Caenorhabditis elegans: one gene and its partner. The protein of the gene in region 1 purifies or fractionates together with the protein of each later gene. This does not show direct contact. Each region holds a gene or a part of one and is shown on either strand. Other genes may lie near its edges.

Region 1 (4,144 bases):
CGTCGAGTACTTTTTCAAATGAATCAAATAAAATAATTTTCCGGTAGAAACTTATAGTTTGCTTTCAAAATTCTATCTTTTTAATCCATTACAATGTAAAAGTTATTTTAAATACATATTTCATACTCACCATCTATATTAGAAAAATAAAACTTTTGGGACCTACCTGTGGTATAAGACAAACCGCAGCTGGATTTCCAGAAAATCTCTTCTTTGCAAAAGCATCGACAATGTACGAAGGATAGTGTTCAGTCATCTGTGACAACGTGTCGAATGGCTAATGAAATTCCAAATAAACGTCGTTTGCCAAAAGAAGTGAAAAAAGGAAAAAGATGAAGGACATGGGGTCAACAGTTGGTCTTGTAAAGGTGGAAAACATGTGAAAAGAAAATGAAAAGAAGGGGTTGTAGTGGTTGTGATTGTGTTGTTGCAGATTCTTTATACGTTTGGAAATTTGTTTGAAAGTACTTTGGAAATGGGAGAAATGTGAAATGAGAAGATAAATTTATTGATAGTCATCAAAAATCAAAAACTTTGAGGGTGGAGTAGAGTTCTTGGGAATTTTACTTCAAATTCATATTGAAAATTAGTTCAACGCAAGCTCTCCCCGGAGCACTGTGACAGAAGGTCCGTTCAAAATCACACGGTCATCTTGAAGACGAATCCTGAATTGAGCTCCTCGAGTTGGAAAAGCCTACAAATCAAAATTATCATTGAAAAAGCTCCATAATGATAATTACCTGAAAAGCATACAACTCGTTCTTCCCGAGCATCTTCGACCAGAACGGTCCCATAACACATTGCGCAGATCCAGTTGCTGGATCCTCATCGATTCCAACCCACGGAGCAAAATAACGGCATGCATAGTCATATGGTTCATCAGAAGAATCCACAAATCCTTGAGCCATTGGATTTGATGGACGAAGAGAAATGGCAAGGCCCCTTACAAAACTTCCATCGTGAATCTCGAGCATTTTTGAGCAATCAATGCGAACGGCTTCAAGTTCAAATTTGGTGGTTTCTGGATCCACAATGACGATTAGTTTGCGAGATTTTGAAGAGTACACCACTGATTCGATAATCATCTGAAATATGAGCTGATTGAAAAAGAAGGGACTGGATTACGATTTTTAAACGTGCATTTTTTGGATTTTCAGATGTAAAATTCCAGTTTTTCAGTAATAAATTTTAAGACGGTTGGACAATAATTTTCATACTTGAATTTATTTTAGACGAAAAGTTTCATGCTTTCAGGTATAGATTTACAAAAATTTTGACGTATGTTATCAGATTTTCAGACACAAATTTCAGATTTACACACGTCAATTTCCTGGTTTTCAGGAGGAATTTTCCAGGTTTGTTGTCGTAAATGTTCAGATTTTCAGAATAAAATACTTTTCACGAAAAATTATCGGAATAAGGCCTGCCTGCCTGCCTCGTGCCTACCACATTGCATGAACACCAAACACCGGAGTTCTAGCTAGGAAGGCACTTAAGCAGGTAGGCAGGCACTACCACACATACCCAATAAAACTACAAAAATTCACCTCAGTTGGAACAACGCACTTGATAACTTCAAACAGGAATGATGGTGCTTCGAACTGAAATTTCAATTTTCTCGAAAAGACTTTTGAAATATTTTATAAAATATTACCTCCGAAAAAATGCCCTGCAATGGATTTGGGGTATCATTGAACTTCACTGACGCCAAATCGTATTCGGGAAAATTCATCTCCACATTTCCTTTTTCATCTCTTTTTGCAATCAAAACTCCGGATTGGGTATCGAATTTAATCTCCTTATTCACATTTCCAACTTCATTGAACAGAACGTGTGACGTTGCAAGAGTTGCGTGACCACACAACGGAACTTCAGTTTTTGGAGTAAACCAGCGTAGGGAAAACTGAGAGCAAGTCTTGAAGTCAGTTGAACCAATTGGAACTGGAAATGCTGTCTCGGAGAGATTGAATTCGGCAGCGATTTTCAAATACTCTTGGTCTTTAAAAACCTGGAAATAAAACTAAAACAATGATTAAAGATGGAGTGTCATCATTGGAAATTATAAATCAATTATTTTTAATTAAATACAAACCATATACTATGGTCCAAATTATTACTAATTACCTCTGGAATAAGACAAACTGCTGCAGGATTTCCTGCAAAACTCTTAGTTGTAAATGCATCAACTATGAAAGACGGAAATTTTCTCGACATCTGAAAATTAAAATTTAGAAATGAAGTAATTATAGAAGTTTGGCAGTTGTGTAGTGAATTTGAAAACTTGAAAAAAATAAAGTGCTTCAAGATGTTGACATTTAACTAGTTGTACCGATGAACAAAAAACAAAAAATATATATAAGGAGAAGAAAGATGACAACACAACAGTCACGTTTCTCTATCTCTTCGTCTGAATCGGAAAAGGATACTTCTTATCAGAAAAATCTAATAAACCTTTCTAAGGTGATATCGGGTCAAAAACATAGAGTTGAAACCAGTTGATTGAAATATTATGAAAAATATGCATATCAGGGTGGACGGCAATTCAAAGTTTTGGCAATTTTATAATTCGGCCGAAAATTTAAAATTATAGATAATTTGAAAACTTGGCATTTGCCGATAGTCAAAAATAATACAACTCGGTGAATACGTGAATACTAAACATTTTTGAATTTCTGAAAATTTTATTCAAAGTTTTGGTAATTGTCAAATTTACGAGAACATTTTGGCGTATTAGGTTGTGGAAGTGTTGTATTTATTTTGAAATAAATACAAAACTTCCACATCAATACGTCAAAATGTTCTCGTAAATTTGATAATTACCACAACTTTTAATAACATTTTCAGAAATTCAAAAGTGTTTAGAGTTTTTACAATTAACAAAAAACCAATTGGTCAATTTTCAACATTTCAAGGTTATCCAGAAAACTTTTTAAAGTTTTCTCTTAATATTTGATAGTTGTTGCTACTCCACCTTTCATATTTTGTTTTCAAATTGTAGTTCTCACCTTTAAACTCGAATAAAAACTTTCAAATAACATTTTCAGTAGCCAAAAACCTCCGAATCTTTCTTGATCAAAAAAGTGCCAATTATCTGGTTTTCTAGCTTGCTCTCTAAACCTATTTATAGGATATTATCTCATATTAGGTGCAACTCGAGAGCAATTTCTTCTCTAAAATGTGCTTTTCTAAACCTGTGATTAATATATTTTTCGCGACGGCACGGCTTTCATTTGTGAACTTCCCTGTCTCCTAAAAATGTTCACACTTCCGCCGGTTTTAAATTCTTCATATGTTGGAATTCACGGAAATTCGACTTTTATTAACTTTGAATTCTCATTTTACACACTTCCTATGCTTTTTCTATTAGTTCCAATACTTTATATTCCCATAACAATTATCATTATTTTGCGGATATTGGTCAAATTGTATTATGCCTTTAGAGATAGAAATAACAATGTATACTTGTTGAGTGCAATTAGTATTTCTCAGTGCATGGTGAGTTGGTTGGAAAAGTTGACATATTTTCAAGCCTACCTGCCTACGAGGCGGCCTATATATGCCTTGCAACATTCTTTTATGGAGAGAAATTCGAATGATCTCAATTTTGTGATGGGATTTTCTCAGACAAATAATTCTTCGAGAACTTCAAATTTTCTCAGAGAACACAAATTTGATTCAATTTAGTTCTTCTTATTCAATTTAGTTCTTCTTATTCTCAAAATTCAACGACACAAACTATTTTTGAAAAACCTAAACTTTCTTTAAAAAAAAAGAAATATGACCGATTATTTTCAAGAAAACTTTAGAAAACTATTCATGACTTTTCATGCCTACATGCATGCCTACCTTAATGCCGTAGGTACGCGTGTAGGTACAAGGTAGGCCTACTTCGCCTTGTAGACTGGAGATTTTAACCATTTTTGGCCAGCTTGAATGTCATTCAATTTCCAGTGTCTTCTATTTTTTCTCGCCGATTTCTTATACCTCCGTCTACCAACATCTGGTTTGCTCACGAGTTGGTGTGCCAGTATCGAGCCTAATCGTTTCATAACAATTCTAACTATTTTCACATATCATATCAATTACTCCACGATGATTTTCCCATTTCTTGTGTCTATCATGCGTCTCATTTTGATAATTTCAC
Region 2 (3,429 bases), on another chromosome or scaffold:
CTATTCATTTTGCATTTTTAAAATTCCTGCTGATACCAAAAATATTTCGATGAGTATATTCCAATTTGACCAATTCTATCTTTTCCCACTGTCTCAAAAAACATATTTTCTTTTTCTCAAACGTGATAAACAGGTTTAATTTGAAATTCAGAAAATGAACAAAATAATTTTTCGAGTAAAATCTTTACATAGAGTTACATAGAACACTCCCTATTAATAGATGTGAAAGATTAATAAATTATATTCGAAGAGTTCTTATACGATTTTTGGAATGCCCTCTCTAAATTCACCAAATTGAACTATTTGGATAACAAGTTGATCGGTTAATCAGCTGAAAAACGGAAAGAAAAGCATAAGACAAATAGTTCATAATTTATTTTTAGTCAAATATTTTATTAGTTGTTTTATAAATATCAGCTGGTTAGCTATGCTAATCAAGGGAAGCGGCGGATCAACGAATAAAAACGGTACATTCATCTCATTCAATAATGAAAATAAAATGAAATAAATAAAGATAAAGAACATTCTTTTTGAAAGTCGCATATTTTTATAATGAAATGCCTTTTCATTGATGTTGAGTGCTTTTGAAACCAGAGAAAAAATTTGGATAAAGATTTATTTTCTAAGAAGTCTTGGATTTATTTCATGATTTTTTAAGAAATCGCTAAACCTTTTGAGTTCCAAGTCCCAAGTATCAAAATTAAAAATTGTCTTGATTTTAACATTTTATTTTAACTTGATTAACTTATTTGGCATTTATGGCTTTGGAATGTGAACTTTTGTCATTTTTATGGGGAGCTCAAAACACATAAATAATTTTTTACTGTAAAACCTTTCGTTGTTTGAAGGAAAACTGACGGTTCTTTATTTTTTAACCCAATGGGGCTCAAATCAACTGATTTTATAATGAGAGTTTTCAAAGTTTTTAAAAAATGTTTTATACAGGTTCAAAAATTTTGAAAAATGCAAATGTTATCTTTACTTACGTAATTTGGTAGTTTATCTCACACTATTTTCTTGGTTAAAGAACATTTAAGGCCGATAGGTAACTAAGTTTGGTCGTTTTTGGTTACCCATCTGCGTGTAACGTTTTTTTATTCAACATAATAACGACATGGGAAGAACGGCAAAAAATGCATTACAGGTTGATATTCAAAGCTAATCTCCAATCGCAGCGACACTCAATGGTTAGCGAAATTGGAGATTTAAGCTGTTTAGAATTTTTAGGTAGTCTCATTACGAAATTTGTGTATTCGCGCACATTTTGAGTAGATACACTCCAAAAACCTGGAACTGATACTCCTCCTTTAATTTTTTGTCAAATAACCACATTCTCCATATTTAACAATTATATTTTACACTTCCTGGCTACTTCCAGTACAAGAACCATACCAACATGTTCGGTCGTTATCAATCGGATTTGTGAAGTCTCTCAAAAACGTTCTCTTTCACTTCATAATCAGCTTCCCACCTTTCGAAACTCCGCCTTCAATTCGCCAGTAAAAGCAGAACATTCCGTTGGGCGGGCAAAACAAATACGCTCCTCCCACATTATCGAGATACTATAAAAGAGATACCGAAGTGGAATTCTTTACGAACTAGGTTCCAATTCGAAAACTACTTTTGTTAAACTATATTTTGCATTTGGAAAAATGCTGCTCATCTGCATATCTGTCCTTGCTGCAATTTCAGCTCATCCATTGTCATCAGGAGAGGTAAGTCAAAACCATCTGATTAATTAAAAATCATTCACTTTTCCAGATGCGTGCAGCAGTCTCAAATTTGGTTCGAGAAATCGACTCCACTCATCTAACTACTAAACCATCCCTGAAAATAATTGAAGGTCTTGAAGACAACACAGTTAGCACTGGCGAGAGCGTAACTCTTCGATGTGACGTACTGTCCACACCGACTGGAGTCATTTACTGGGAAAAGGATGGCCAACGAATCCAGGGAGATAAAGAGCTTAATGTTTTTGAAAAAGTATTGAACGCTATGGGTCCTACAGTCGAGTCAGGTATCATCACCAGTAGCTACCAAATCCCATGCGCAAATCTCCATCATATTGGATCCTATAAGTGTGTAGCCACAAATGGGCACGATACCGTCGAAAGCTCTGCAAAAATCTCAGTTGGTTAGTTGAATATAATTTCTATTAAAACATTCTTAACTTAAAAATTTTCTTGCAGAAGGACAAACTGTTAAGTGTAAATCAACGCGCCGCTCAGCCCCAGTAATCACAATGTCTACTGAATCCCGATTTGAACTTCAAGACAATGCAGCTACTCTTATCTGCCGTGCTGATCGTAGAGCCAATTGGAATTGGATGTTCGAAGACAAGAAAATAGATTTTGACAGCGGCCGATATGAACTACTTCCATCCGGTGATCTTCTCATCCGGAAAATCCAGTGGTCAGACATGGGTTCATACTTTTGCATTGCTCATAACAAGTATGGAGAGTCCCGTGGTGAAACCTTCTTGTATCCCACCAAAAAACATATTGCTTAATTTATTTTGTTGGTATCCTTAAATTTATTTTTACATCCTGTTGAATTGTACCCCTAACTTATCTAGTCGTTTTTCCTTACAAACCCGTGAACAGATCTCACTTACAACACTTGATTCTATGCATATTTTGTTCCCTAATAAAAGTTTTCATTTTGATTTAAAAAAAAAAACAATTATTTTGTTGGAACATTGAACAAAGCACAAACAATACAAACAAATCATATCGTATGTTTTTTCCTAATCTAAGACTATTCACTGTTGGTTATCATAATTCATTTTGCCATCCACAGCAGAGAAAATGGTAAACAATATGAATCTTTCTAGTCTGGCGTTTGTATAACCAAGGAATAATTTTTTATTTAAAGTTGTTTCCCTGTGAAAAACCCAGAATGAAACATAATCAAGTTTCAACGAGCATCTTGATTATTTCCATAGTGATTTGAAAAAAGCACGGATTAAGTGAATAAGCCTCAGTATTCGTCAATTTTCTCAAATTCTCACTCAAACTGGATAGCAAAATGTACCATTTATACAGGTGACGGTGTAATTTGTGTTTACGTCACTAGTACACAAATTTCACCTGGTTCTGTTTATTTAATTGTGAGCTTTTCAATAATCCACATAACCTTTTTCCCTACTCTAAGAGTATAGTATTCGTGTATGGTTGTGAAAACGTAAAAATAAATAAACTAGAGTATTATATATGTCGAAATACGGTTCCGATAGTTTTGCAACGCGTAGGTATGTTTGTTATATCAATTTTAAGGTTAAATACGTCATCTTCATAATTTTTCTTGATATCTTTACCTTGTCACACATTAACATAAAAAGAAACCTAATTTTTGTTTGGTGATGTCTTCTGTCCTTTCACGTTGTTTTCTTTTTGATATTTCTGTATCTGTGCGCTTCTATTCTTGTCT

Evidence for each region.
Region 2: the proteins of T04A11.5 (region 1) and zig-3 fractionate together in Caenorhabditis elegans (co-fractionation; one large-scale study listed by BioGRID). This does not show direct contact.

What each region holds. Positions count from the first base shown.
Region 1 is NC_003282.8:12,484,324-12,488,467, forward strand, and holds T04A11.5 (Phenazine biosynthesis-like domain-containing protein), read right to left. Parts: upstream 2,215-4,144; coding exon 2,125-2,214; intron 2,009-2,124; coding exon 1,655-2,008; intron 1,602-1,654; coding exon 1,548-1,601; intron 1,086-1,547; coding exon 741-1,085; intron 695-740; coding exon 587-694; downstream 1-586. Other genes in the region: T04A11.4 (Phenazine biosynthesis-like domain-containing protein), read right to left, coding at 167-256; sru-26 (Serpentine Receptor, class U), read left to right, coding at 3,256-3,495, 3,952-4,144.
Region 2 is NC_003284.9:7,929,145-7,932,573, forward strand, and holds zig-3 (Zwei Ig domain protein zig-3), read left to right. Parts: upstream 1-1,593; 5' UTR 1,594-1,652; coding exon 1,653-1,715; intron 1,716-1,761; coding exon 1,762-2,134; intron 2,135-2,189; coding exon 2,190-2,509; 3' UTR 2,510-2,664; downstream 2,665-3,429. UniProt on the Caenorhabditis elegans protein: Required for maintaining axon position of PVQ and PVP neurons postembryonically in the ventral nerve cord (VNC) by preventing axons drifting into the opposite side of the VNC that could occur during body growth and movement.